4 linked regions of the Struthio camelus genome follow. The protein of the gene in region 1 purifies or fractionates together with the protein of each later gene. This does not show direct contact. Links are inferred from orthologs where the notes say so. Each region holds a gene or a part of one and is shown in the gene's direction. Other genes may lie near its edges.

What was found.
Region 2: the proteins of EZH2 (region 1) and SMARCA5 purify together in Homo sapiens (affinity purification with mass spectrometry, with the first as the bait; 3 studies listed by BioGRID). This does not show direct contact. The link is inferred for Struthio camelus from reciprocal best matches to the Homo sapiens genes EZH2 and SMARCA5.
Region 3: the proteins of EZH2 (region 1) and PHF19 purify together in Homo sapiens (affinity purification with mass spectrometry; 10 studies listed by BioGRID and IntAct, counting the BioPlex papers as one, with this or other methods). This does not show direct contact. The link is inferred for Struthio camelus from reciprocal best matches to the Homo sapiens genes EZH2 and PHF19.
Region 4: the proteins of EZH2 (region 1) and MTF2 purify together in Homo sapiens (affinity purification with mass spectrometry; 10 studies listed by BioGRID and IntAct, with this or other methods). This does not show direct contact. The link is inferred for Struthio camelus from reciprocal best matches to the Homo sapiens genes EZH2 and MTF2.

Annotation. Positions count from the first base shown.
Region 1 is NC_090943.1:62,688,321-62,695,919, reverse strand, and holds the start of EZH2 (histone-lysine N-methyltransferase EZH2), read left to right. Parts: upstream 1-4,585; 5' UTR 4,586-4,600; coding exon 4,601-4,605; intron 4,606-7,599. UniProt on the Homo sapiens protein: Polycomb group (PcG) protein. Catalytic subunit of the PRC2/EED-EZH2 complex, which methylates 'Lys-9' (H3K9me) and 'Lys-27' (H3K27me) of histone H3, leading to transcriptional repression of the affected target gene.
Region 2 is NC_090945.1:34,085,264-34,092,251, forward strand, and holds the start of SMARCA5 (SWI/SNF-related matrix-associated actin-dependent regulator of chromatin subfamily A member 5), read left to right. Parts: upstream 1-3,982; 5' UTR 3,983-4,005; coding exon 4,006-4,164; intron 4,165-6,391; coding exon 6,392-6,466; intron 6,467-6,988. UniProt on the Homo sapiens protein: ATPase that possesses intrinsic ATP-dependent nucleosome-remodeling activity.
Region 3 is NC_090961.1:3,054,556-3,062,189, forward strand, and holds the start of PHF19 (PHD finger protein 19), read left to right. Parts: upstream 1-4,632; 5' UTR 4,633-4,676; coding exon 4,677-4,692; intron 4,693-6,317; exon of another isoform or gene 6,318-6,368; intron 6,369-7,563; coding exon 7,564-7,634.
Region 4 is NC_090949.1:18,605,096-18,612,428, reverse strand, and holds the start of MTF2 (metal-response element-binding transcription factor 2), read left to right. Parts: upstream 1-4,323; 5' UTR 4,324-4,592; coding exon 4,593-4,597; intron 4,598-7,333. UniProt on the Homo sapiens protein: Polycomb group (PcG) protein that specifically binds histone H3 trimethylated at 'Lys-36' (H3K36me3) and recruits the PRC2 complex, thus enhancing PRC2 H3K27me3 methylation activity.

The DNA of each region.
Region 1 (7,599 bases):
GCGCCGGGAGCGGCTATTTATAACCGGCTCCCTTTGTAATGGGGGGAGGGGAGGAGGGAGCGGGCGGCGGGGAGGGGGGTTGGGGGGGGGCGGTGGCTGCCGCCGGGCAGCCTCCGCGGGGCGGGCCGGGACGGGGCGCGGGGGGGGGAGCCGGTGGCCGGCGTGGGGTGGCGAGCGCGCCGGCCGGTGACAGCTGGAGGGGAGCGGCATGGAGTCTGTAAGTGCCCTTTGTCTAAGTTGGCTCCGCGCAGCCCGGCCGCAGGTCGGCGAGAGGCGGCCCGGGGGGCGGCGGCGGCGGCGGGAGGGGGGGCGGGCGGGGGGCGGCCCGAGGCGCCGCGCTGCGCGGGAGAGGCGGCGTGGAGCAGAGCCGGCTGCTTGCCTGGCGGCGTTGGGCGCAGTGTTGTTGAAGGATGCGTGGATTTTTCAGCGTGTCCAGCAAGGCTTCAGAGCGGCTGATTGACACCCGCGGAGAAATCCGCGCCCCCCCCCCCCACTCCTCCCCCGAGAGAGGTGGGCGAGCGGAGTATTCCTCCCTCCCTGCCTGCCTCCCGCCGTCCCCGCCGAGGGGTTGGGACAGGTCCGCTTCAGCCGCGTGGGCTCCTCGTCTCCCGGAAGCTGCTGCCCGGCGAGCCGAGCCCGGCGCCCTCCGGCTTGTGCATCTCCGCGCACTCGTCCTATAAACTTGTGCTTGTTTGGGCACTCTTTTCCCCATAGGTGTTTCCTTTCTTCCTCCCCCTTCCCCCCCCCCCCCCTTTGCCTTTGAAAATTCTTAGTTCAGGAAGAAAAACTATTTAAGGGGCGGGGGGGAACCTGCCAGACCGGCAACTCGAGTGAACTTCCTAACGGCGAAGGGCACCGTTTGGCTCTTGTTTTCCAGAGCGCTGCAAGAAAGTTTGTGGGGAGCTGGAAATTGCGATTTTTAGCTCTAAGGCTGTCAAGCACGGGTGTACAGAGCGCTTTCAGAAACCAGGGTGTTTGGGAAGGTGTGAAGGAGGGTACTGGACAGAGCTGCCCCTCTGCAAAAAATGTGTGGTTAGGTGAAGATGAAGAAATCGGTGCATTGTGGCACCTGGCTTATGTATTTGACATTAACAGGTATTCGTGGTGATTGAAAAATTATTAGTAGCACCGAAAGAAAAGCAGTCGGTGGATATGTGCAGTGGGAATAGAATAATTAACTGGTACTTTGCTTGAAGTACTTTCTCTAAGTTATGAAACACTATCCTTATTGGAGCTAGAGAAGAGTTTAACTAGGAAGTTGGAAGTTTAGATCCTTGGTCTCTTTAAGAAAACTGTACAACAGTTTTACACAAGGACGAATCTATCTTGTAACAATTGAACAACCTTGTGTAAGTCTAGCAACTGTAGTTCCAACTATTATGAGTTTGATTCTTACCGAATATATATTTCAGTGAAGAGTTTTCCCAGTGCAGGTTTCACTTCTTAGGATTACCTTGTAGATAGTGTGGGTTTTTTTGTTTGTTTCTTTGTTTTTTTTAAGGGATTGGCCCGTTCAGATTCTTGATGTGATTTGTAAAAATTAAAAGGTCATTCGATGTTTGTCCTCACTGTCTATATCAGATTGAGAGTCCAGGTAATGTTATTTGCAGTAACAATAAAGCATCTTCAGGAGGGTGAGTATTATTTCAGCCCAGTGTACAATAACTACTCTCAGTTTAGCCCCTTAAAATGTGAATGTTTAAGGCCGGTAGAGACCTTCAGAAAGCATGCTTCCAGTGTTTTAGGAGATATGGCTAGAAAGTTTTGTGTGGTGTCTTGAGTGTCTTTAACTTCAAGATCTAATGCTTTGCTACTTGGTTTCTTTTAAGCTTCTTACATCAAAAGGGTTATATTTCTTGTTCCAGAGTTTAAAAAAAAAGAGAGAAAAATACATTTTTTCCTTCATTTACGTGAAGAAGGAAATTAAAAGTTAAACGGCACATGGGGAGAACTGTGACAGTAAAATGTTCCATGAGGTGATGACAGCTATTTTGTTCTGAAATTTTAAAACAATTCAAGATTCTAATTTAGGACAAAATTTGGAAAAAACACAGGGCAGTTGTTTTTTTTAATATGCAACTTGATCCTCAAAAGTGATAGACACTGAAAATTCGTATTGTCAAAAGGTCATAAAACATGTTTGCTGAATTTACAATGAACTAAAGTGATGGTGTGTAAACTTAGGCCAGAGACTTGAAATTCAAGCTGGATTTTTTCCCTTTTGCTAGAATTGCCACCAAGCTGAAATATGGTTAGTGATTTTGTTGAAGATTGCATGCCAGAATAGAATTATGTTTGTTCTATAACATTGCAGCATTCAAAGGTGCAATGTAAGTATGATCATGCACTTCTGCTTATCTGCAAAGAGACTTTGGCTTAGAGAGAGGAGAACTTTGCTAGTGCGTTAGCAAAGGCACCAACTGCATATGTTGTGAGTGCAGGCTAAACGTCACTTTTTGTAAAGCAGCTTACGTCAGAATAAACTACATCTAGCGTCTAGTGCGCTCCAAAAATGTTCCCAGAAAAGTTGGTGCCTTAAAAAATTCCTTTTGTAATTAGTCAAAAAACTCTGTTATTTTTACAAGAAATGTTTACATTTACAAGAAGATTCTACTTCTTTAGCTGCATATATCTTGTATACATTTTAATAAATTCTCAATTTTAAAGTTAGAATTGGATGACAATTTTAAATGCCATATGACTGAACAGAGAAGGTTTTAATTTTAAAAATGGCAACAATACTGACAAGGCATATCTAATAAATGTTTGCTTTGTATTGTACTCAAGTGAAAGCACTGTGGGAAACTTTAGTGGAGGCTATAATATGAATGTTGTGTGGTATCTGTAGTTAGCATTTATAGATGCAGTGTAACTGAGTCGAGCAGAAGCATCTGTGAAATTTTAGGAGGAATAAAATTGTCCCCAACAGAGATGCTGGAAATCTCAGGAACAAGATTTGCCTTTGCTTGGATTTTCCTTGCTTGGCCTTTGCTAAGCAAGGAAAATTTGAAAGTTCGCTGAGTCAGGTAGGTCATTGTTAGAGTTACCTGTCTAAGCAAAATACAGTTTACCAGATTTTAAAAATGTGAAAGGAATGGGTGTAGTCTGCATACTATGAATGTAATTCTTAAGGGTTACATTAGGTGCTTGAATAGCACCTACCTTTGGAAGCAGGACCAAAGTAAAAAGAAGCTAGCTGTAAGACAGTACTAGGAGGATTATTTTAATGGTAATTTTGCTACCAACCTTCTGTTCATCCTGTCAGAAAACTCTGTGGAGTGGTGCCAGGCTCATTGAAATGATGTCTAATTGAAGTGGCGTTTAGTATCTATGTGTAACTTGTACAGATGTTCTAGAATAACCAAATTAGTTTTTAAATCGACAAAGTTACTCCAATGCTGATGTAGTTCAAATGATAACTTCAGGTAAGGGGATATGTCTGGAGGAGGAAAGATGAGAAGAAGAAAAACCTTATATGAAAAGGATGCAGAACAGGGAGAGGCATTTTGCAGGGGAACAACAAAGATGCTGGTTCCAAGTTAACGTGCTTGGGTTTGTTTTTTTAGCTCTAAGTATATACCCAAGAGTTTTGCTAAGCTAAAGATTAAAAGGAAAACAGTGTTTAGAATTATTAAGCAGATGTTCTACCTGTCCTCATGGAAATCACTTGAAGACTTTAGAATGACTCAGTGTGTCACTGCTCACAGATAAGGTGAAACTAAAGACTGAAATTTGTTGAGGTGGGGGTGGAGGGAGAGTAGGGTCTACCAAGGTCCAAGCAAAAAACTGTGCAGTTGTTTTCCTTTAAGACAGTAGTGGCAATGCTGTTTTCTGTAACTGATAACAGGAGATATTTTGATTGTTAAAGACTTGTTCTGGTTGTACACCTAGATCTCCACTAAGATCTGTCAAACTGTGGACTTGAGTTCTGAGTACTTGGTGAAACTGAAAAACTAACCCAGTGTTACAATTGGAATATGTGTTTTGGATTAAAAAAATAAAGTAACATTAGTAAACTTGGGTAGGGGTTACTCTGAAGTATCTGAGTGATGAGTAAGAGTATCACTTGCATATAATATAGCCAAATTAAGCTCCTTTTAAAAAAAGGTGGAAGATAAAGGAATTCTGAAAAACATAAGAATTATTTAGCCATAGATTTGTAAATAGATTATTGTAAAAAATATATATATTTTCAGAGAAGATGATGTCTGTTAGATGTTCTTCCTATGTCCAGGAAAAATATACTTAAAAAAAAAAAGTCAAACTCTAATTTTTGGGAATGTTTTGGTTGCCCAGCTAAAGTGTGCGTATAGGATGTTTAAGTAATTGCATCTCTGCTCAATTTGTGAATAACACTGTCTTGTAAAAATTTATAATGTGTACTGTGCTTCCTTTCTAATGGTAGTGCTTTTAAGGTGGGAAGTCTCTGGCTCAAGACCACTTGGAAATCTAGTCAGATATGGTGCATATTCTAAAGGCTGCAGATGAAAAATAATGTAATGATGTGACTGGATCAGTGCAGTGCTGTCAACTGCTTGAAAATGTCACATAGTAGTACTGTCAAAGCACCTACTTTGGATGTATATGATTTCGTTAACAAATGAGGTAAAAGTGACAGAGAATGTACTGCCATCTTTCTGAATGCAACTAATGACTTTATTAATATGCAATTGTAGAAGTATTTCAGAATTTGCTACTTTTATATATATATATATATAAATATGGTGCTTGTTTAACTAATGTTGTGTGTGTAATTATGCAAGCAAAGTAGTAAAAGTTACAGTCCACAGCCTGGGCTGGAAAAAAAAAAGTCTTTTCAGGACTGTATGCAATGTTTGTCCTTTTTTCCCCCCCTCTCTTTAAATCTAGAGCCAGGCCTGTTTCCCTTGTCAGTTTGTGTTGCATCTGACTCCTTCTCTCATTTTTCTTTTACGTGGTTGGTTCAGCTTTTCCGTACCATGCATTCTCTGTTTCACAGTCTGCATGTTCAATTTAAATCCCAAAGCCATCTGATGTAATTTAAAGAAAAAAATTATTTGAAAGGAAGGAAACTCAAATCTTAACTACTCATACTTTTTTTCTTTTTTTTTTTTTTTAATGCTAGCTAGTTTCCTTTCCACGTTTCTTAGCACAAGTGGACCTGGCAAGCTTTATATTTCCAGTGTGTAGATGTCCGATCTCATTTTTATTAGTAAGATTAAGAAAAAATTAGGGCTGGGACTTGGATTACTTTTTTCTGTAAGAAATCAGGCAGACGTGTTGCAGATACCTGACTTGCAGGCATAACTAAACTATATCAGATGGATTAAAATCTTAAGGTTATGCTTTCTCTGATTTTTATGATACAGTTTGTAATTGGGCACAGCTTAAAATCTATCCTTCACGATAACTTCTTCCAGCTATGCATCCACCAGTTTGTGCTGTATTTCTAGTGGGTATTACTAATGTGTTTACTGCAAAGTTAAATCTACTGTTCAACTCTTGGAAGAGGAAATTGACAGAAGCTGTTTTACACTTGAAAGTAAAATGGTTTATGTAACCACCACTGGTGTTCAAATGCTGCCTTGAAATTGGGAGGCATAATTTTTTCCCAAAGCCTTGGAACTATCCATAGTTCTCTTCCATAGCCTAAGGGAGCAGAGTTTTTTCACTAGATGATTTTTCTTTTTTTAAGATTAACAGTTTCTCATTAATTTTCCCCTTTAAATCAAGCTTCTGGAAAAGTAGCCTCTTTAGATTAAATACAGCTTGTAAAGAAAAAAATACTTCTTGTAAGGAAAGAGCAATGTGCTGTTGGGTTAATCCTCATATACTTTTTAGGGAGATATGGATGCTGTGCATTAGACTCAGTTATTCTGAGAGCTTTAAAATGAGCATTGACTGAATAACTAATTTGGTTGCTTTCATCATTAGAAGCTCATTGCTGACTTTTTCAGATCATTGGCAAATCTACCAAACACCTGTTAAGCTCCAAAATTTTTTCAGACTGTTTTGCAATAAATTGTGTATGAGGTTTCTGCATACATGGAAGTGTAATATCTTTCAAAATTTGGGATTTTTCCCTGTGCAAGGAAATAAGTATGGAAAAGCAATTGTTGCGTGGCAGGGTTTTTTTTTTGTTGTTTACTTTTTCCGTGTGGAGTGTGGGGTTTTTGTTTCTGTGTGGATTGAGCTAAAGAACCTTTGGCTGTTTTAGAGTAAAATAGGTGTGTCCATAAAAACAAGTTAGGGTAGAATTGCCACTGCACTTTAAATTCACACCCTAAATTATTTTGCCTGTGTAGGCATGCTGTAAGTGCTCCCAGCACTCTTTCTGCCAGGTTTATCAAGGATATCAAAAAGTCCTTAAATTTTAGGGGATGGAGCTGTTAGGCAACAGAGGTTGTTTGGAATTTGTGTGGGAGTTGTATCTTTTCAAATAAATTAGACAAAATGTATCCTATGGCATTCTATTAATGAGTGTGAAAAGAGAAATTTGAACGTATGAATTTAAAATGTAAGCTGTATGGCTAAATCTTTACTTTCTCCTGACAAATAATCAGGCTTGGTCTTGTGTAAGGGATGTGGAAATTCATGATTAATTGTGACTTGCAAAGGACGTATCAAAATCAAGCTTCAAACTTTTTGTTGCTGTTCTGATGTTTGGTTTTTTAAAATGTTTTATTTATTTTTGATCCAATAGTCTTACTCATACCTGTAAATATAGTTAAAGCTATTTTTACGTGCAAATATCCAGGTAAAAATAAATGGTTACACTACCTGCTGCATAGTATTTTGCTGATGTCACTCAAACTGAAGTGAGATTTCAGTACATTAGTTAGTGCCTGTTTTGGTTTGATGTTTAATATTGAATAATGCAGTTGTCATCTACCCATCTGTTCCCTGTCACCCCGAAGTGGACAAACAGTTAAACGTATCATTTGTATTTCTAAAACAGTGTTTTTCTAAAAATAGCAAATGTTGAAATGTTCTGGAAGAGAATAATGGTGGGAATTAAGAAGTTTTATCATTCAAATGATAATTCCTTACGAGGTATTTAGTAATTACATGTTGTATCTGATTTTTGTTTTTCTAAGTCCTAAAACTGCAAGGATATAGAAAAAGATCTTTATTTTTGAAGGGAAAAATACCTTGAAAAGTTACAGATTTGCATACGCAAAGTGATTCAGCACTCTAGTAAAGATTTATCTTTTCCTTTTGCCAGCTGTCTGACAAAAATATGTACTGCATTAGTTTTTTGTCCAGTTGCTGTATTGGTTGAAAGATATGTATTGGAAACCTAATTATTTCTATTGAAATTTTAGTTTGCTATTAACTAACCTAACTTCTTATTTGTTTTTATCTTTATTAAAGAAAATGAAACTGTGAGAAGTAGCCTTATCATTGTTTTCTGACTAATAAATATTCTAAAGGAAACTCTCCTGTAAAAATGAGGTAAATTAAATAAAGTTAGAGGCAGTGCTCAGGCTGCTGCCCTCTTCTTCAACTGGTAGAAAATCTGAAATAAGTTTAGTTTTTCATACATTTTTGTTGTTGGATCTTTTTCAGGTACTTTATGTTGAATCAACTAGCTGTTAGTGCTGAAAACTTTAAATGAAG
Region 2 (6,988 bases), on another chromosome or scaffold:
TGATCTTTTAACCACAAACAGTTTAATTTCATTCCTTTCATTTTCCAAACTCCTGGCAGATTTGCAGTGGTGATAGATGTGCAGCAGTGCCTATTAATGTAATTGCTGTACAGCTAATAGTGTCTTTTAGAGTAGCTCTTATTTGCGGTGTTTTAATTCAATTTGTTATTTAACCGGAAGTCATCTAAAGTATATTAGTAGAAAAAGTTATGGTTACACAAGCAAGCAACAAAAGGCGTGTCACCTTAGAGATTTGACAAAAATCTGTAATTAAACTGTTCTTTACTAACTTCATAAGCATGTTAATAATTAGTTGTCTTTACAATTCAGATTTCCGTACTGGCTGGGGGAGGATTTGTATGTGTTACTGTGCGTTTGTCCGTACCTTGGTGTTTAGCAGATTAGTAACCTCTGTCAGGAGCTGCTTTGCGCTACTAGCTGCTTTTAAATTAAGGTCTTTGTAGTCAGGCTGCGTGTTCAGACTCTTAGGGTTTTATGCATTCCTGAGTATCATCTTCCTGTTAATTTGGAAGTCTTCCTCTTCTTTTCTTCTTGATCAGTTTTTCCATCCTACTTTTAAAACTTTGGAACTTTTAGTCTTCCTTTCTACTTTTGACAAGAGTTTTTTTTTTTTTTTAATTATGCCTACCCTCCATACTTGTAAGTCTAATGGTTTTCTTCGTTTTCACCTCTAGTTGAGCCTTTTCCTTTGAGTGTGGCAGAGATTTTGATAGCTTTCTGCTGTTTTACAGCATGGTTCTGTTCACTTGGAGATAAACAGCTTCCGATTAAAATCTCTGATTGAAGAGTTCACTCCTTGTGAGACTGCACTCTTGCAGTGGTATAGGGTCCACTGTAACTTCAAGTAAGTAACATTTAATAATGAAATTATGGATGGAATAGAGCTAGAGTTGGGAATTTTGTTGAGAAGTGAATGGTCTATTTAGAAGCCTTTGGGTCTGTAAAAAGTACTTGGTATCTCATTCGGGGATAACTCATTAAGGTTATCCAAAAATACTACTACAGTGTTGCAGGTTGTATGCAGCTGCAAGACTGATTTCCCCCTCCTTCCCCCCAAGCTCTGATGTAGAGACAACAATCATTAAGGTTTCGTGTTTCTATTATGGAACTCAGGTTTTGGCTCGGAATATTTTTGTGACAATTTTTTTTACCTTTTGTGACTGAAATATTTGGGATTGGTACTCTCTTTCAAGTTAACTTCTTTAAAATTTGAACAAAAATTATTCTCTCTTGATGATAGCAAAGGCAGAGCTTCTCAGAAGTCGGGGAAATGAAAAAGCTAAAACAGTAACCAGGAAGGGAAGAGAAGCAATTTTTGGCTGGAGACAAACACCATTTTCATCTTTCATGATACTGATACTGGGCACATGAGTATCTCAGCGCTCCTCCCTGACCAAGGGTTGATGACCTCTGGATGGAGGTGGTATTTTCTCTTTTCGTCTTGCTAAGCTTTCTCTCTCATGTTCTCCACCTGAACAGTATGATCTTACCTGGAAGTTTTAGCCTGATTATAAAAAGAAGGTGTTGAAGGTGGTGGAACAACTCCCCTTGAATGCCTGACCCCTTCCTCAGCCTTTTATGCCACTTTTCTTTCGAATGTAAAGTCCATCAGTGATTCTCCACCTGTAGTTTTGTTTGCGTGCTTTGCGGGGGAGAGGAATAAGTGCTAAACGGGGAAGGTGGAGTATAGCTTGCTTCCCACCCTTACCTACTGGCCACACCATGCAGATCGTACTGCATCATCAGAAGCAACTGCAGAGGAGGCGAGAGGGCAGAAGCTGAGGCTGGGCAGATTAAAACTGGACATAAGCCTAGGATAACTTTATGCTGACATACTACAGGGGACTAAATGAATACTTACTATAATGTGGTACTGCATATATTTAAAACTTAAGGTATGGGTGGAGATGCAAGAAGAAACGCTGTGTCTCTGAAAGCAGAGAAGAGCCTTAGGCAAAGGAACTGGGTTTTTCACCTGTCATGAGGGATGACAACAAGCAGTGGGGAAACATGTCAGTAACATTTTTATTAGCTGAAAATTTCTGTTCTAGGAAAACTGAAATTCATTATTCTGAGTAGTTTTGGCAGAAATGAAATGACACAATGTTTCAGAAATGCGAGAGCAAACTATTTTAATTCCAAAAATTTCAAAGGATGTTGGTAATAAAATCCAGTGAAATGTTACAATAATCATAGCAGAGAGCACCTCCTTTTAGGTTGTTAATGCAGACATATCTGCAAATGCAACTGATTGACAGGAGCAGATTTGTAGAGCAAATCGTTGATGTGGGGCACCCAGTGTTCCCACTGTATGCGGTTTGGGGAACTTTTGCTTTAGACCAGCTCTAGTCTGGTCCTTTGGCCTCAGCCTCTGTTAGCAGTGGGAATGCAATAGGGGTGCTGTGGAAACTCATCTTCCTGTTCTGCTTCATCCCCAAATATTCCCATTTTGTGCACTCCAGGCTGCTTCCGAGATGTGAACTCGGGTCAGTGGTTCATGGCACGGTAAGAGGTGGGCACGATGGGATTTGCTTCAAAGGGGCGCTCCTCTTCTGAACTGAATGCGAGCGTAGATGCCCCTAGGGAGTCCCGGTCTGAAGCAGGGTGCTGTAGCTTGGGGTGGCTCCAAGACGGGAGCAGACAGTACGTTGGGTCTCAGGAAAGATGCTACAAGCTTTGTCTGGTTCAAGGAGCCAGAAAAAGAGGGAAGGTGACTTTAGTGCAGTGGTGTTTGCTCTAGCACCCGCTTCTGTGAATATTCATGTCTTTTTACTTGAAACAGAACATCTCCCGCAGGAGGGGGTCAGTGTGACGGACCTGAAAAGAGCACCGTTTGATGTGAGACCTGCTCTTTCGGAGCACTGGCGTCTTGCTTGCATTTTCTTTTGGAACATGTCATGGTGATACTGTTATATTTTAAGGAGCCTTCACGACCTCGCCGAGGGTAGGTGGTGTTTGCCAACGTTAATTCAAGCAACAGCCAACGGCCTTCTTGCAACGTGCCCCAAGCCGTAGAGAGGAGAAGCTAGGCTGTAACTCCAGCAACGCAGCAGGAGGATGTATGATCTCTAATACAATTTCCAAGCGCTTTGGAAGTAACATCACGATTTTTATTGATTTCTTTTAATTACAAGCCACCACGGGTAAAAGCAGCAGCAGCAGCAGCAGCGCAGCAGGGCGGCTGTGGTGCTCCTCAGCCCGGGCGCTGGGGAGAGCCCAGGAGCACACGCAGCTCGCTCTCTCTTCTCTCCTCAGCTCCCTTTTACTCCCTTTTCCGAGCGCGGCCCTGGCTCCCGCCTTGTCCCCTGCGGCAACGCTGGGGGCGCGGTGGGAGGTTGAACGGTTTGGGGACGCTGTAGGTTTCGTTTCCGGTGGGAAATGTATCGTGGACTAGTCATGAGAAAGTTTAGAGCTGCCTTCCCGCCCTCCGGTACCGGGGTACCAGGGCGGCGGACACCGCTCCGGCAGCGCTACCCCGTGCCGGGCCGGGGGCGAACAACCAACCGCCCGCCCGCCCGTTACCGGCTCATGACGTCAGGCCGCGCGGGGACCTTCCTCACCCCCCCCCCTTCCGCCCACGGAGGAGAACAAGGCGGCAGTGACGCCACAGGGCGCCCGCCCCACCCACCCGCCATCTAATCACCCAATCAGCAGCGCGCCCGGGGTGGTGGTGGCGGGGGGGAGAGGGAAGCCGGCGCTCGCGGAGCGCGCACGCGCGCGTCGCTCCTCCTCCGCCGCGCGCCCCACGCTGGCGGCGCGGCTCTCGCGAGAGCGGGGAGCCGGCTCGGTTCCTGGTTGGTGGGCGCCCGCCGAGCGAGCCGGCGGCAGCGCTGACGGGCCTCGGCCGCCGCCGCGCACCGGGCCCCGCGCGCGCCCCCGCCGCCCCCCCCCCCCCGCGCGCCCCGCGCCGGCCTCAGGCGGCCGCGCCGCCGCCCGCCTCCCTCGTGCGCAGCTCCCGGCGGAGCTTTGTCTGCGGGCGGGATCATGTCCGCCGGGCAGCAGCAGCAGCAGCAGCAGGGGCCGCCGCCGCCACCGGGCGAGCCACCCGCCCCGCCGCCGCCGCTGCCGCCGCCCCCGGCGGGCGCCAACAGCAGCGAGGCCGCGGCGGCAGCTCCGGCGGCCGGGGCCGACGCCGAGATGGAGGTCAGGCGCTTTCGGCCGGCGGGGGGACCCCGGCGACGCGGGGAGGGGTGGGGGGGGCGGCAGGTGCCCGCCACGAGGCCGGCGGCGGCGGCGGCGGACAATGGGGCGGCGGCGCGGCCGTTACTCGCTTCGGGAAGCGCGGTGGGCGGCGGGGCGACCTCCCCGGGCGGCCTGCGGCCCCCCGGCGAGCAGCCCTTGTGCTGCTCTGCCTCCTCGGCCCTGCGCTGCCGCGCCGGGAGGAGCGAGCCCGTTACTGCCCTGAAAAAGCACCGGTGTTTTCCGCGCTCGGCCGTAGCTCCGGACTTTGCGTGCGCGGGGCGGGGGTTTGCTTGGAATAAGTAAATAGCTTTACTCATTTGTTTCTCTGCTTTTTTTTTTTTTGGCGGCAGGTGGTTATTCCAGAAATTTCAAGGGGTTTTGAGTGTGATCGCCTGGAGATGCTAATTTTATCGCAGCATTGTTCCTTTAACGATGTGAGGAAACTGGTTGGTCCAGCTCTTAGTGCTGGGTGTTTTGTACTCTGAGTCATGCTGTACAGTCCAACCTACCTCATTTAAAGCAGTTTGCTAATGCTTTTTTTTTTTTTTTTTGGTTCAGATGAGCAAGGAACTAAAGCACTATGGGTAAAAAGTCCTGCTTGAACCTGTAAAAATAAGGCAATTTCAGGCTAGGCTTCGTGCGTGGAAGCTGTGAAATGCACGCTTTTGATGCTTTCGTGTGAGGGTTCTTCCTGTATTTGCAGAGTTAATCCCCCTTTTACCTGAGGAAGGGGTTGCCGTGCATAAACTGAAGTTTCAGTTTAAATGGCTTCTTGGTAGCCCTAATCAGCTAAGAGGTTGTTTTTCTCACTGTTCAGCTAAATTGGAAGTTTTTGTTGTCTTTATAGCACATGAAGAGTTCAGATGGCTTGTTACTGCTATTCATGTGTTTTTACAGTATTTCAAGTGTTTGGTGTTTCAGGAGAAACATGAATTTTGTAGAGGAGTTCAAACAGTTCGGTCCTTCTTGTGCTCAGTGTAAGACGAGTATTAGATAAACGCGTCGGGAGATGAGTGAGAAAATTTCTGGAAGATCTTTAGCCATAATTTTTTACGTTGAGTTCTTTATCTTTTGACTGGCACACGAGACGTTTGTGTGGAGGTTCTTGTGTTTTCACATGCCTTACCTGCTAGAGTTTCCGGAGGTGACACCCCTCCATGAGCAGCCCATGTTTTGCTTCCCTTTGTTTCAAGTTGTTTGCTTGTTCTGATCAGCTAGCAAAGGTTGCATTTAGCTGAATTGTCAGTTTGCTCAAATAAACAGATGTCTAATAATAATTTGGTGGGCATCTCATTCGTTTCCTCTTTTCACCCTTTCAAGAAGTATTTTGTAAAGCACTGTCTTGCCGTGGTTGAGTGGTGAGGTTGTCCCATTGTTTTTGCTGCTAAGAACAGGAGAAGGTGAAATTAAACGTGGGAGATGATGGAGAAAGAGTTAACTTTAAAAAAAAAAAAAAAAAAAGAGGAGAGAAGGACAAAAAAAAATCCTGACCCGAATGGGTAGTTGAAGGTGCTGTGCTACAGAGTGGGCAGGAAAGGGGATGAGGAAGGACTGCCAAAAAACAAACCCTAAAACTTGTTTTTCTGCTATCAGTAATACTGTTGGTGGTAACAGTAATACTGTTGGTGGTAACAACAGTTACTTGATTTAGTAAACAAGAGAGGGAAGAAAGTACAGCTTCTTTAACATGCTGCCCTGCTTCCAGGACAAAACTGTAATTCAAACTCTTTGTGTAGAGTTGTTCACCGGGTACAGAGTGATGTAGGATTGGGGTAATCTGGAAAGAAACTTGAAACTGCTGTTGCTTCAGGAGCAGAGCTAGTTCTTTCACAGTACTTTCTAGAGGCAGCTTCAGGAGGGCTTTGTCTCAGCACCCTGGAAGTGGCCTGCTGAGCTCCTGGACCACAGCTGGCTCTCTTGTTTCCATTCATGTGATGCTACAATGATGGGGCTGAGTTGGATTATAGAGAGCTAGCTCTGTCCCCCCTTCTGCGGTAGGGATCACTGATGCATGGCCTAGTTAATTTTACAGCATATAATAGAAACGTGATTATACCAAAGAAACAGAAGGTGGATGTGCTCTCCGATGTGTATAGGTAGCAATTTGTAATGAGCTTATTCGCCTTTATGTGAGTATCTTGTAAGCATTGTTAGAAAATAAGTTGTTTCTAATTCTTTTTCCCCTCAGGAATCTTTCGATGATGCATCACCAGGAAAACAAAAAGAAATCCCAGAAGCAGATCCTACATATGAAGAGAAAATGGTATGTAACGTTTGGGAATGCGTACATCTATCCAGCACTTAACGCAGTTGCTTAAAACATAGAGTTCAGCTCTTTTGAAATCTGTTAATTGGATTTATAGGTCTTTGTCTAGTCTTTCAAAAAACATTTAAGTAATTTGAAACCAAAACAGTTAAAATAGAAAATCTCTTTTCCTTTTTAGTGTTTTGTTCTCTGTTCTTCTGTTGCTTCTCTACTTCCGTTGCAGTGATACGTTGATATAACTGGTGATGTGTTTTGTTGGTTCTAGTAAGTGTGGACCTAGGAGTTTTGCAGCGCTCTAGATTTAGGAAGAATGGGATAATGGGAAGTATTCAGACATCCTCGGGGAAAAAAACATAATAGGAATTGTGCTGTCGCTTTTGGAGTTGTCTGTAGAGTAAGTCCTTCCTGGGGGTAAGGAGGATTATGAAGAGCTGAATATTCACTCTCTTGGTCGGAAATCGAAAGATCATCTAGAAAAGGGTCTGTCCTAACTGGCTACTACCTTACTTTCTTAATGTA
Region 3 (7,634 bases), on another chromosome or scaffold:
GCTGCTGCCGCTGGGCAGAGAGCAGAGCGGCGAGCGCCCCTTCCCCACCCGCCAGACCTGGCCGCTTCCTCCTCGCCCGCACGGACTTACGATGACAGTGGTGGGCATTGGCTTACTGGAGGGCTACACCCGGGTAAGGAGCCCAAACATCCTCGAGTGACTTTTTCCCCAGGTACAAAAGGGGCTTTTCTTTTTTCCTCGTTGGAAATGGCTTTTCTGAGCCTTGCTCGGGAACTGCAGACGTGTACATAACGTATCGGTGTCAAAATTATGTAACGGCCACATTAATACAAACCTTGCACAGCTGCGGGACCGCTTACAAGCTCTTCATGTCTTACGCAATTGCACAGAAGCACGCAAAGAAAGTTAGGTTGAAAAAGAAATGGATGTGGATTAAATTCATATTAAACAAACAGCAAAAAGACATGAAATCCAATGCCTGAACGCTCTTCCTTTTAAAGGCACAGCTGGCATAAAGCAGATGAGCGTCGGATTTAACTACCCCAGCTGTGACCGCAACCATACCTCCGCTCCGGGGCGCCCTCGGGGGCATGGCCGTGCTCGGAGCGCTGCCCCGGCCCGCGGCGGTGCCACGCCGCCGCCGCCGCCGCCGCCGGAGCCCCCTCGCCGCCCGCCGCGCTGAAATCGCAGCGACAGCAAGGTTTGACTAATCCAGCGAGCGACTTCTGCTGCGGAAAGTAACATCTGCAATGAATTTTGCTTCCTCGGGGCCAAATCGAACGGTGCAGAAACGTCGAGGAGAGTCCTAGAGCGCTAAACCGGGGCTGTTTGCTCCACGGTTAATGGCTAGGTGAGCAGAGAATAACGGCGCTTATGTAGCTGGGACGGTCTAAATAAATAACCATGGAAAGGTCAGTGGGGAAAGATCATCCAGCTTTTCCTGAATCAGCTTAACCCGGCTGAAAAAACCCAGAGAAGGCATGAGGCTTCTAAACCCTTGTTCAGCAGAGGAAAAACTATGGTGGAAACGGCGGTAGCGAGCCGCTCTGCAAGGTGCGGGAGTGAGCCGAGCCGCGGGCTGGCCATCGGCGCAGCCCGCCGGAGCCACCGCTGCACGGGAGCCACCGCCGCGCCAGAGCCACCGCTGCACGGGAGCCACCACCGTGCCAGAGCCACCGCCGCGCCGGAGCCACCGCTGTGCCAGAGCCACCGCTGCACGGGAGCCACCGCCACGCCGGAGCCACCGCTGCACCGGAGCCACCACTGTGCCAGAGCCACTGCCGCGCCGGAGCCACCACCGTGCCAGAGCCATCGCTGCACGGGAGCCACCGCCGCGCCGGAGCCACCGCTGCACGGGAGCCACCGCTGCACGGGAGCCACTGCTGCATCGGAGCCACCGCTGCACGGGAGCCACCGCTGCACCGGAGCCACCACCGTGCCAGAGCCACTGCTGCACCAGAGCCACCGCCATGCCGGAGCCACCGCTGCGCCGGAGCCACCGCTGCACGGGAGCCACCGCCACACCAGAGCCACTGCTGCGCCAGAGCCACCACTGCACCGGAGCCACCGCTGCACCGGAGCCACCGCTGCGCCGGAGCCACTACTGCACCGGAGCCACTGCTGTGCCAGAGCCACCGCTGCGCCGGAGCCACCGCTGCACGGGAGCCACCGCCGTGGGGCTGCCGGGGCAGCGGGGCCGGCGCCGGCTCAGCCCTCGCAGCGCCTGGAGCCGGGCAGCATCTCCTGCAGCTCCGGAGGGCGCCGGGGCCGCCCAGGGCTCCTTCTAGCTGGGGAGGCCGAAGGCGCCCCAGAGCCCCGGGCGCGCGCGGCCTGGGGCGTCCCCGCCGGCCCGAGCCGGACCCGGCGCCGCAGCGCCGAGCGAGCGCGGGAGCCATGAGTAAGTTGCTTTTGGTCCGGACTAGCGCAGGGAAACGCCGCAGAGCCAGCGGCCGTCTCTGTCCACCAGGCGAACGATGGTGCAAGAGTTATTTTAGTCCTGCTGTGACTCACATATCATGACTCACCGCAAATTTTGGCCGTTTGAGTGTTTTGAAGATGCGTCAGGTTCCCCGTGAACCCGGAGGACGAGTGTTTCATGCCGAGGGAATGAGCGGCGTTCTGCACCCCCCAGCCCGCCGGGCAAACCTCTGCCCGCGACCTGCGCCCGGCGCGCCTGCCCCGGCGCTGCGTGCTCTCGGGGTGGGCCTGCTCGGGCGCCCGCTCCCGGCAGGCGGGCAGCAGGATGCGGCCCCTGGGTGCGGCTGGCACGGCACGACACACGTAACACGGCAGGGCATGGCTGGGTCCAGCACGGCACAGCACAGCACACACGGCATGGCACGGCACGCACAGCACGGCACGGCACGGCACGGCACGGCACGGCACAGCACGGCACACGTAACACGGCAGGGCATGGCTGGGCCCAGCACAGCATGGCACAATACACACAGCACGGCACGGCACAGCACGGCACGGCATGGCACGGCACGGCACAGCACACAACACGGCACGGCAGGGCACGGCACAGCACAGTATGGCACAGCATACATAACAGCACAGAACAGCATGGCACGGCAGGGCACAGCACAGCATGGCACGGCATACATAATGCGGCAGGGCATGGCACAGCATAGCATTGTACGGCATGGCACAGCACAGCACAGCACAGCACGGCACGGCATGGCACGGCACAGCAGGGCATGGCAGGGAACAGCACAGCACAGCACGGCATGGCATGGCAGGGCACAGCACAGCAGGGCAGGGAACAGCACGGAATAGCACGGCAGGGCACGCCACGGCACGGCACGGCAGGGCACGGCACAGCAGGAAACAGCATGGCATGGCAGGGAACAGCACGGCATGGAACGGCACAGCACGGCACAGCACGGCACAGCATGGCATGGCAGGGCACAGCACAGCATGGCACGGCAGGTCATGGCACAGCACGGCAGGGCACAGCTCGGCACAGCACGGCACGGCACGGCACAGCATGGCACGGCAGGTCATGGCACAGCACGGCACGGCATGACACAGCATGGCACGGCAGGGCACAGCACAGCAGGGCATGGCACAGCACGGCACAGCATGGCACGGCAGGTCATGGCACAGCACAGCACGGCACAGCACGGCACAGCACGGCACAGCATGGCACAGCACAGCATGGCACAGCACGGCACAGCACGGCACAGCATGGCATGGCAGGGCACAGCACAGCATGGCACGGCAGGTCATGGCACAGCACGGCACAGCATGGCACAGCACAGCACGGCACAGCACGGCACAGCATGGCACAGCATGGCACAGCACAGCATGGCACAGCACGGCACAGCATGACATGGCAGGGCACAGCACAGCATGGCACGGCAGGTCATGGCACAGCACGGCAGGGCACAGCACGGCACAGCACGGCACAGCATGGCACAGCACAGCACGGCAGGGCACAGCACAGCAGGGCATGGCACAGCATGGCACAGCACGGCACAGCACGGCACGGCACGGCACAGCATGGCACAGCACAGCACGGCACAGCACGGCACAGCACGGCACGGCAGGTCATGGCACAGCACGGCACAGCACGGCACGGCACAGCATGGCACAGCACAGCACGGCATGGCACAGCACGGCACGGCAGGGCACAGCACAGCATGGCACAGCACGGCACGGCAGGGCACAGCACGGCACAGCACAGCCTGGGGGCTTTAGCTTCATACACAGAGAGAAACGAGAAGCAAGGGAGAAAAACAGCCTTCGTGCCCCCGGCTCCGGGAAGCCCTGTTCCTCGCGCTCGGGCGAGCGGCGGGAAACGATCAGCGTTTCGGCAAGCCGAGCGCCCTCGGTCACTCCGCGCCTGCTCGCCAGGCTGCCAGGGCAGCGGACGGACGGCTTGCTGACGGCGTCCCCGGGCCCTCAGCAGGGCAGGAGCGCGGCAGCTGCCCACGGCTTGCAAAACGGGACGCCGGGTTTCAGGTGGTGCGTGGCGGCGTCCGCGCGCCCTGCTCACGCGCCGCATCTCGGAGCCGGGAGCTTTCACACCCGCTGCCTTTCACGTGTGATTGACCGCTGAGAGCCTTGCGCTTCGTCTCGCCCCCTTCTTCGATACCGCTCTCTGCCAGGATATTTTGTGGCCTGCGATGCTGCTGGCAGGATATTTAGTTTTGAGACAGCGTAGCTTTGCTGTTTTACTTTTGGAAAGTAGTTGTTAGCGTGTCCGAAACGATCCGTAACGTGCAAAAGGCTGCAGGGAGCCGCGCGCAGCGCCGCCGCCGGCCCCGGGGGCGGCTGCCGGGGAGAGCCGCAGCCTGCGGGGCCGCTGCGGTGACACAAAGGGATTCGGAGACGGCAGAATCATACAGAAACATGTAAAAGGCATTTTTACCCCTGCGCCATTCATTTTTAACGCTCGCTGGCAGCGCCCGCTCTTTCACAGGTGAGCTAGGGAGCAGCCGGTCCGGGGGCCGAGGCGGCACGGTCCTGCCGCCGGGCTCATCGACCACAGCCGATAAAGCGCCGACAGACCGCGAGCGCGCCCGGCGCCGGCCCGCCACCGGCAGTCAGCCGGCCCGCCGGCTGAGCAGGCCTGCAAACATTTCTGTTTTGGCAGCGCTTTCGAACAAATAGCAAATCCTTCAGACTTCTCCTTGGCACTGAGCAGAGCATTTTTGCAGTGATTGATTCTCTCTGTTGAGATTCAGAGAAAAATCCCCCCGTTTCTAGGAATGCCGAGGAGCACAGGTTGTTCCCGCGCGCGGCGCAGCATGGCTCGGCCTGGCACGGCGCGGCACGGCACGGCGCGGTGCAGCACGGCTCGGCCTGGCATGGCGCGGCACGGCCTGGTGCAGCACGGCTCGGCACGGTGCAGCACGGCTCGGCGCAGTGCAGCACGGCTCGGCATGGCACGGCACGGCACGGTGCAACACGGCTCGGTGCGGTGCAGCACAGCTCGGCATGGCACAGCACGGCATGGCACAGTGCAGCACGGCACGGCGCGGTGCAGCACGGCACGGTGCAGCACGGCATGGCGTGGTGCAGCACGGCTTGGCATGGCACGGCATGGCACGGCGCGGTGCAGCACAGCCCGGCATGGCACAGCACGGCACGGCGCAGCATGGCACGGTGCAGCACGGCTCAGCATGGCGCGGTGCAGCACGGCTCAGCACGGCACGGCATGGCGCGGTGCAGCACGGTGTAGCACAGCACAGCGCGGTGCAGCACGGCATGGCATGGCGCGGTGCAGCACGGTGTAGCACAGCACGGTGCAGCACGGCATGGCATGGCGCGGTGCAGCACGGTGTAGCACAGCACGGTGCAGCACGGCATGGCATGGCGCGGTGCAGCACGGCTCAGCATGGCACAGCACGGCACGGTGCGGTGCAGCACGGCTCGGCATGGCACGGCTCGGCACGGCTCGGCACGGCACGGCGCAGTGCAGCACGGTGCAGCACGGCACGGCGCGGCACAGCGGGTCGCCCCGGCCCCGGGAGCCCCCAGCGACGCCACTTGCTGCCCGCGCGGGAGCCGGGGTGCCGCATGCCAGGGCCCTGCCAGCCGCGGGGGGTGCGGGGCCCTCGCAGGTGCCCCGGAGCGGAGCGTACCCCGGGGGGCAGCTGTGGGTACCCCACGGGGGACGGTTGCAGACACCCTGCGCGGGGCAGCTGGTGGGGTGACCCGCAGGGGGGATGGTTGCAAATACCCCACGCGGGGCAGTCTTTGGGATGACGCCCGGGGGGCCCATTGCAGACACCCCACGCGGGGCAGTCTTGGGGACAACCCCCAGGGGAGGCGGTTGCAGACACCCCACGCGGGGCAGTCTTGGGGACAACCCCCAGGGGAGGCGGTTGCAGACACCCCACGCGGGGCAGTCTTGGGGACAACCCGCAGGGGAGGCGGTTGCAGACACCCCACGCGGGGCAGTTTTGGGGACGACCCCCAGGGGGGGCAGTTGCAGACACCCCACGAGGGCAGTTTGCAGGTGCCCCACGCGGGGCGGTTTGCAGATACCGTGCATGGGGCAGTTTGCAGACACCCCACGCGCGGGCTGGGGGGGGGGAGGCAGCTGCCGGGGCCCCACGCGGGGCAGCCGCAGATCCCGCCCGCCCCCAGCTACCATGCGTGCGAGCGCGAGTGTGTGTGTGAGCGCGCGCGGGCCGGGCCGAGCCGGGTGCAGCACACCGAGCGGCGCGGGGCGGCGGCGGCCGGGGGCGGCGCGGGGCGGCCGGGGGCGGCGGCGGCGCTCGCTGCCCGAGCGGGACGGGGGCGGCCCGGGAAGCGCGGGAAGATGGCGCCCCGCGCCCTGCCCCCGCCGCGCCGCGGCCCCGGCGGCCCCCGGGCGGGCGGGCCCTGACCCGGCCCGGCGCGGCGGCGGCGGCGGCGGCGGCGGCGGCGCGGGGAGAGCGCGGCGGCGGCGGGCGGTAAGGGGCGGCGGCGGCGGCGGCGGCGGCGGCGGGGCGGGGGCGGCCGCTGCCCGCGCTTCCCGCGGAGCCGCAGCCCGCCGGGGCGGCGCGGGGCGGCGCGCGGTTCCCGGGACGGCGCCGCGGCGGCGCCTTTGAATGAGCCAATGGCGGCGGCGGCGGCGGCGCTGCCCCGGGGCGGCCGCCCGGCAGGTGCCGCCGGCGCCGGGCACTGCCCGAAAGCACCGGAGCGCGGTGCCGTGTGCGCCGGGCCGAACCGAACCGGGCCGGGCCAGGCTGAGCCGAACCGAACCGGGCCGGGCTGAGCCGAACCGAGCCGAACCGGGCCGGGCTGAGCCGAGCCGAACCGGGCCGGGCCGAACCGAGCCGAGCCGAGCCGAACCGGGCCGGCGGCGATGCCCCGCGGCGCCCTGCGCGCCGCCGCCGCCTGCCCCGCCGGAGGCGCCCGCGGCGTGCGCCGAGCCCGCCTGGGCGGCCGCAGGCTCTGCCGGCGCCGGGAGAAGCGTTGGCCGAGGCGCGGCTGGCCGAGCCGCTCCCGCCAGCTCCGCTGAGCATCCCCCCCTTCCCCCCCCCTTCTTTCTTTTTTCCCCCTTTTTTTGTTTTGCCTGCCGGCCTGGTGCGCGGTCCGTTTAACGGGTGGGCTTCTTAAAAGCGGCCAGGTCATCCCCGGGGAAGGTGAAGGTTGTTAATCGCGCGCTCCGGCCGCAGGCAGCTCGTCCTGCTCGAGACGCCGTGCGGTCCCGTGTTGCGATGCGTGGCATGAAGTCGTGCGTGTCGCCATCAGAGGGACGCTCCTCGGCGGGGGGGAAAGTAACTTTTGGGTTGTTCTGTCGCGTTTGCCGGCGGTCCCGAGGCGAGCTGCGGCCGGGGCGCTGTCGAGGGAGGGCGGTTTGTTTGCCTCTCGCGCTTCAAGCCTTTGCGGCAGCGAAACTCGGCTGCTCCGTTTCACGCGCTGTTTGGAGCGCTCCCGCTTCCCTGCCCCGACGGGGCTCTCGTGCCCTTCGGGGAAATTGCATGGAAATTATGCATGAAATTTAACATCAGATTTAAAGCTCTGGACCCCCAAGCACGCAGCCTGCGCGGCGCCCGGTGGGCAGCTCGGGCGAACAACGGGCTCGTTACACCCCGGCCGAACCCCGCGGGACGCAGGGCAGCGGCGGTGGCGGCGGGTGACGAGCGCGTGCTCCCCTCCCAGGGCTGCCGAGGCTCATGGAGAGCAGCAAGCTGAACCCCATCATCCGGGATGTCTACGCGGCTGCCAGCCAC
Region 4 (7,333 bases), on another chromosome or scaffold:
AGCTTCAGCTTCTTTTAAGCATTTTTTCAAGCATCTTAAGTATATAAAGTGCTTTTACTAGAAAAAAAAATGTTTCTCTGTGAAGACCAATGGCAATGTGGTCAGCATCCAGTAGCACTAATGTATTTTCTTCTGTAATGTTGATATACAAGAATGCAAAATCTTACCTATCTAGAAAAATATTTTAAGATATCTATTTTGTTCTGTTTTCACAAATATTTTTATATCCTTAGGATAGAGCGAGAATAATTACTGCAATTTTATGATAACAATTGTTATCTGGTTATAAGGCAATTAATACTAATTTCTTCATATCTTATAACAGCACTCACCTATTTTTTATATTTTGAAATTGAAGATCCTTTTCTGAGTCCTAGAATAATAAATACAGCATAAGTGCACTGTCTCACTAATTATTATGTTTACGTAAAAGTAGATGTACCATATTCAACTTGATTGAACATAGGAAGATCTCAGGTGAGCTTCCTTGCTGTTCCCATGCTCAAACAATACTGAGAAAGTGGCCTGGGATCTAATTTTCCCTCCTTACTGAATTGTGGTCATGACAACCATCTGTACAAGGATAAGCTTTACAGTATTGTCTTGTTCGAGGTTATCATTTTGACGTTACATTGGGTGATACAATAAGGCAATGGAAAATAATACTCTACAGCAGTTGGTGCTCTCATCTACATACACTGTTGACTTAAGTGTATGGGTTTTCTGTTTTGATTTGCTTACTTTTATTATTTGTTTATAGAATTCTTGCTAAGAAAGTGTATAAACATAACACCTGCTTTAAAACGATATACTAACATTTGAGAGAAGGGCTGTTGGCTAAGGGACATGCCACTATTTCTGAGTCTGTATTTAAACATTATTTAAATTTATCCAGCTTTACTGGTTACAGAAAATTTACATTTTGAACATGAAATTTAAATTGTCTCTCTTGTGCCAGCAAGGCAAGATACAATTTCAAAAAGTAAAGACTTTGCTATTATTCATCTTTGTGGCAAAAATGTACCAAACAATATGTGGACAAAAATAAACACTAAGGGAGAGACGTGTCAGGTCAGTATTCTTTAACCCCCTTTGAAAACAGAGCTATTTGTGAAAGGAGGTGGAAGAAAGCTGAACGTATTTATTATTATGCAGAACCTTATAATCAAAGTCTTTTTTTTTTCCTGGAACTCCTACACAAGAGAGCTCTTACCGACATTTGAGGAGAAGTAATTTAATTTGGCCTTGGCCATGCTGTGACAAAAAGTATATATGTAATACGTCTGGAATTGAAAACACAATAGCAGAGAGTGCTTAAACTGTATGTGCAAATACTTTCAAGGCATTATCAAAAGGCAAAAAAGAAAACAAAACAGGAAAGTCCATTCTAAAGTCATCATATATAGTCTTATTGGATCTTAACAGAAGAAATAACTAGTTGCTTTACTACTAGTGCTGAGCAGAAAGCAGACGAAGATTCTAGTTTGCTCAAAATCAGGTTAATGATACATGTCTCTCGATAATTGGAATTGTATAGAGTGTCTAAAGTAGGCTGACTTTTACTTTTGCTGTTCCTTCTTTGCCCCACATATGCCAGTGATAATCAGGATCCTTTCTGCTGCAACTATAGGTTTCAGCATTTGCTGATTTAAGCATTTCAATTTGAAAACCATTTATAAAAGAATCATTTGCACATTTGCAATAAGATTCCCAACCCTGTAATTACCTCATCAGGTTGGGCAAAAGAACTATAAAAGTGACTGTTCCAGTGCATATTTACTCTCCAAGAGTAGAAGTAGCTGAATTTAGTCATCTATGTTTAGGTATTTCTCAAACATTTGATTTACTTGGTCTAGTAAACGCATCAGGTGAATAAGACTTGCATGGTGATGGCTCTAGAAAGGAGCTTCCTGTAGGATGGTGATTCAGTGACCTGCTAAACTGTGTAAAAACTAGTTACTAAATTACTGTGATGGAAGAGGGGGTGTCTGTGTGAGGTGCATAGGTTGGAATTTTTCCAGCTATCAGTAAGAGCCGACCTTAAAAGGAAAGAGAGGTTAACATGGCTTTATTTAGGATTTGGCTGGGAGCCCATACTGTGCTTCACAGAAATTCTGAGAGAAAAATATTATATGGAATCAAATTTGTGGGGATAATATTGATATGGTCTGTTGTTTATAGTAATAAAGCTAATAGTAACAAGCTTTGGGAGCAAAGTTCTGGACTAACTAGTTCAATCCCCCTAATAGAAAACTAATCAGTGTATCAAACTTTAATCATCCTTATTTACTGTGGGGATTCTTAGTTTCTTTTAGCGCTGCCCTCAGATAAAGGTAATGCTATTCCAGCAGCAACTCCTAGCTCTGTGACAAGTGGTGTTTTATGTTTAGGGTGTGGCCATGCAGCTCTGTGCCTTTATGCTAGTTATGAAAACGGTTTCAGGGAACAATATTCCAAGGAAAAGGAGGGTAGAGCTACATGTGTCTTTCTGATCAAGGAGGTTTTTTATTTTTTTTTAAGGGGGTGCTGGTGGCGAGCTAAACAATTTACACCGGGAGATCGCACTCTGAGAAGTTCTGATTTAAGCAATTTCAAAAAGACAGCAGAAACAGGTTGGTAAGACCCTCCAAGGGGGACTGTAAAAAAGTAAGTTGTGAGGGAGCCAATTATTGATGTTTAGTCATGTTCATCCTATGGCTGATAAAAAAAAATCTTACTTTTTAACTGGTTTAACACTGGTTCTCACCTACTATTATCAGTATAACTAAAAGTTAAATACTTGCACGTGTGTTTTTCTCAGCTTGAGTAAGTGCAACTTTTTTTCTCACGCCGGTGACCCCTTGCCTTTAGTACTAGTGGTACCTAACTGCTGCTAGCAGTATCTCAAAATACGTGAAGAGCAGGCCATGGCAATTGTGCTGTGCAAGCCTGTTCTTCACAGATCTAGAGGCCATCATGATCATGGGCCGAGCAGTGGCTAGTTAGTACATCCAAAGGGAATTTTAGGGAATTATTCCCTAAAACCTGTATTTTAAACAATTGCCATCATGAAGAGATTCAGGTTTTACTGTTTTACTTTGACACCCCTCAGAGTCGGCCAGATTAAGGTGTAAAAATGACAGCTCTTTCAGACTCATCTGCTTTAAACATCACTCTCTTTGGTCCTCTTTTGGGTGACAAGCTGCCTCCACGTCCTGCTGTCCTCAGGACCATGCGCACCCAGGGATTACCCTCCTGGGGACCACTGACCCAGGGAGGCTGGCAAGCTACTGTACTGCACCCCTGGAGACGTCAGGGGGCCAAAGGGAGTCAGAGAGGGTCTGCAAACAGATCCAGTGTCGTTTCCAATGGCTGATCTTTCTGTGGAAGCTCAGCCAACACGTTAAGGCAGAGTGAACAGGCCAGACTGCCCGTGCGAGATCCCATCTAGTAAATACTTGCATTTCCACTACTGCTTAGAGGTCTGAACTGTGCCAAGGAACTGCCCCTATGGGACTGGGGCAAACTTTCTATTGTGTGTCACTGTACAACTGCTGCATTTAATCAGAGCTGCTGCTGAGGCTGCGCTAAGCCTAAGGAACTCTTCATAAAAACAAGCTGCTGGTGATGATGAAAACTGAAAAGCCTATTCCAGTTCGCTAACACAGCTGCTGCTAGAAAGAGAAACTAAACTTTAGCTCAGCTCCTAAAATGGCAGTTATCTCGAAGACTGCGACTGCAGAGGAGCTTCTCCTTCAGACTGTCTACCCTCACGCCCTTGGTGTGAGCAGGCCCCCCCCCCGAGCAGCCCCTGCTACCTGGGCCGGGGAGGACACCGCGGGCGCCTGGCTGCCCTCTGGGGCGCGACGCCGGCTGCCCCGGCCGGCCAGGGCCCTTCCCGCCCTCCCTGGATCATTCTAGACGCGCGGGCCGACCCCGCCGCGGCGGGGCGCCGAGGGGACGGGCCGGCTCCCGCCTCACGGCCCGCAGCCCAGGTGGGCGGCGGGGGCAGGTAGAGCGGTGCGGGCGGGCAGGCAGGCTGCGCGGGTCCCCGCGGGACTGCGCCGCGCCGCGCCGCCGGCACCTCGCCGCCTCGCCACAGGTGCGACGAGGGAACAATAGGCGGAGGCTGGCGGGGCGGCGCGCACCCCTCTGCGCTGCCGTAACGAGTCCCGGCCGCGGGCAGGGATATTCCCCCCCCTTTAGCGAGCACGCCTAAAGTAGTCCCTCTTTGTTCACCAGCGGGCAAGGTTCGGCTTCACCTGTGTCCTTCCGCCGCAGCGCGGCTGCCGCCCCGCCCCCTGGCCGGGGAGCTGCCTGTCGGCGCAGGCGGGGCCCGGCCGGGGCGGGGCCGCGGCTCTTTGTGCTCCCACAATGCACCAGCTTCTCCTCCGCGGGAAACAAAAATGGCGAGGGGCTGCGGTGGAGCCGGGCTGTCTGTGAAGCGGGTCTGACCCCTCCCCCGCCGCCGTCCCCTCGCCTCGCCGCGGGGTCCGTGCTCGGGGGGGTCCCGCTGCGCACCGAGGGCCCGGCCGCGCCGGGGCGCCGGGGGGAGGGCTCCTGAGCTGGCTGATTTCCCTGTATGAGGCGGTTGGCACCACCGGAGAGACCGAATGAGGTGGGGTGCGGGGGGCGGGCGGGCCCCGCGGCGGGGGGGAGGGCGTGGGGGGCGGCGTCGCCGGGCCCCGCGCGGGGCGGGGGAGGTGCGGGGCAGGGGGGCGCCCCTCAGCTGCGGCCCCCCGGGCCGCATCCTGCCGCCGGCACGGGGGTCGGGCCGCCGGCGGGGAGGGGTGCGAGGGGCCCCGCTCCTGCGCGGGGGCCCCGGAGGCCGGGGCGGGGGGAGAGGGGGCGGGAGCTGCCTCTGCGGCGGCCGGTGGCAGGCGAGCGAGGGGCCGGTGGTGCTCCTCCGTGACCAAAACAAAGGGAGCGAAGGCAGGAGACCTTGTAACGGGGGCCTCGGGGGTGTTGCAGCCGGGCGGTTGCCGCTGGGTTTACCCCAGCTGGGTTTTTTGTGTGTCTTGCTTAAGGACTTTGGCCGAATGGGCTGCATTTGCTCAAGTGTAAAAGAGCAACACAAAAGAGGTGGTGGTGGCTGCTGGTAACTTTGCTTTTTCTTCTGTGATGCCTCTTCTTTTAGTCTCTGTCAAACTAGCGCGATTCAAATGTGCTGAAAACTTGCGGTTTTAGTCTACCGAAATGTGGGAACTGTTGCTGGCTGAAAGGATGTGCAACAACATATTTTCTTATCTGTGATGCTTGAATTTTGTGGAAAAACTGGGTTGGTACTTTTGTTAGTGGGAACAATATGCTACTGTGTGAGACAGTCTGGACACTGATATCGAGTGTTGGAATATTAGGGATTGTCATCCACCTCAGAAGCATTTGGGTGCTATTAAAAGGAAAGGGCCTGCCAGGAATGCAGTGTAACCTTATGCTTATTTCTTGAATTTCTGATGGTTTGGCTCTGTTCAGGACATTAGGTAATACATAGTAATGGATAATAGCATGATCTTCTTCTGACCTACGGTGTAGGTCATTCATACCTTATACCGAAACTGTCAAGCACAGAATAATGAAAAAATGGCTTCACTGATTTTTGTGGTTTATAGTCAGGTTGGTAAAAAGCTAATAAGCTGATGTTTGTCCCTCCTTGGAGAGCTCAAATTGCAGTTAATTGGAAAGCCTTTGAGGCTGAGAGGAGAATAGGTGTTGTAATATTAGAATACAGGTTAATATGTTTAATTTTTTTCACTTTCAGTGAAAAGAGACTAAGGGGGCACAAAGACTAAGAATATGAAAGAAGGGACGTAATAAAGTAGTGAAAGAGTTAGAAGGATCTTTGTGGGGAGCCACAAGCTAGTGAGATGTGCATCTAAACTTAGAGAGTAAAATGTAGTAATGCTTTCCACAGTTATCTTTATCTGGGAAAATAGTTATGTGACTTCTCAACAAGTTCTTATCTCTGCTCGGTGAAGAATGCTGAATTTGATGTCAGTTGTCTGAAAAGTTGGCTTAATATGTTTGTTTACCAATTGCTTAGATATATAACTTAAAAACAGTTGAAGGTTGCACTCCCAGTCAATATCAAGACTAGCCTCAGATACAGTTACGTTTGTTCTTCCATGCATTAGGAGATCAGGCAGAGTGTATGAGAACAGCTGTAACAAATAAGTTGCAGTGCATTTGCTAGGAATGGGCTGGTAAAGGGTGGCCTTCCATATAACCTGGAGATAGATGAGGATGAAGCTAGTACTAGAAGCATCATAAATTGCTGTAAAGTGTGTTTTATACTTCTAATGTTAGTTGTGGAAGAGAAAGTTTGGAGGGGAAAAACATCTGTAAGTGAAAGCCAGTATAAATCTTTCTCTTCTCTTAGTTTGTGAGTTGACAGCACTTTTTGCATGACTGACCTCTGAGCTTGCTGCAGAGTTGGTTTCACCTTCTTTACAGGCCTTCCTTGCAGGAAATGGAGGGGAAGTGTGTCTTTGAGTAAAACAAACCAGGAGAAGAATGGTAAAACGATGGGTATTGCTGATGGGTCCCTGGGCAGGGTGATACTTGTCGCTGAAAGTACTGAAACTAGTTGAATTAACTTGTTGAAGGATCCCGATTTCAATCTGACAGGCTTTTCCTAGAAGATGGGAACTCTGTTAAGCAGGGAAATTGAAAAGCTTGACTTTCCCTTTCTTTAAGAGAAGGGGAATTCATGATGACAGCATTCCTGATGAACCTGGACACACTTCATTCACTAAATATTTCAGAGGACAATAACACTTCATCCTTTTAAAAAATAAATCAATTTCTATGTATTTCTTTCACTGGAGCGTTTGTAAAGGTCGCTGTTCCTGTAGAATGGCCTTAAAGGAGGAAATATGTCCTCATGGTTTTTGACTGCTTGTGGAATTTTTCCCCTTCTCTCCTCTCTCCCCAGTGCAAGTCAGAATGTGCTCTGTGATCTCATTTACTGCTTGGACGCACGCTCATACTGTACTCTTTTAGGTATGTTGCTGGGCACGCTGTATTTGGATACTGTGGAAACCAGAAAGTCAATAGCTGGGTTAAAGGAGATGCTAAGTATACGTTTAAGGAAAGATCTGATTAAAAGCGAGGTGTGTTGCATCGGCATACCATACCCTTAGTCTCTCCTTGATACTACCTACTTCCTCTTCTTTGTGTATAAACACATGATCAATCCCAAGTCATTCTACAAATGGCTATTACAATAAAGTACTACCTTGCCCTATTTCCCTACATGCTACAATACATAGGGTAATACATTGTTATGTAATTATTTGTTAAAGACTGTTTTAATTCTATTTGATGTGCAAAAGAAAAAAAAAAAAACACTTTTAGT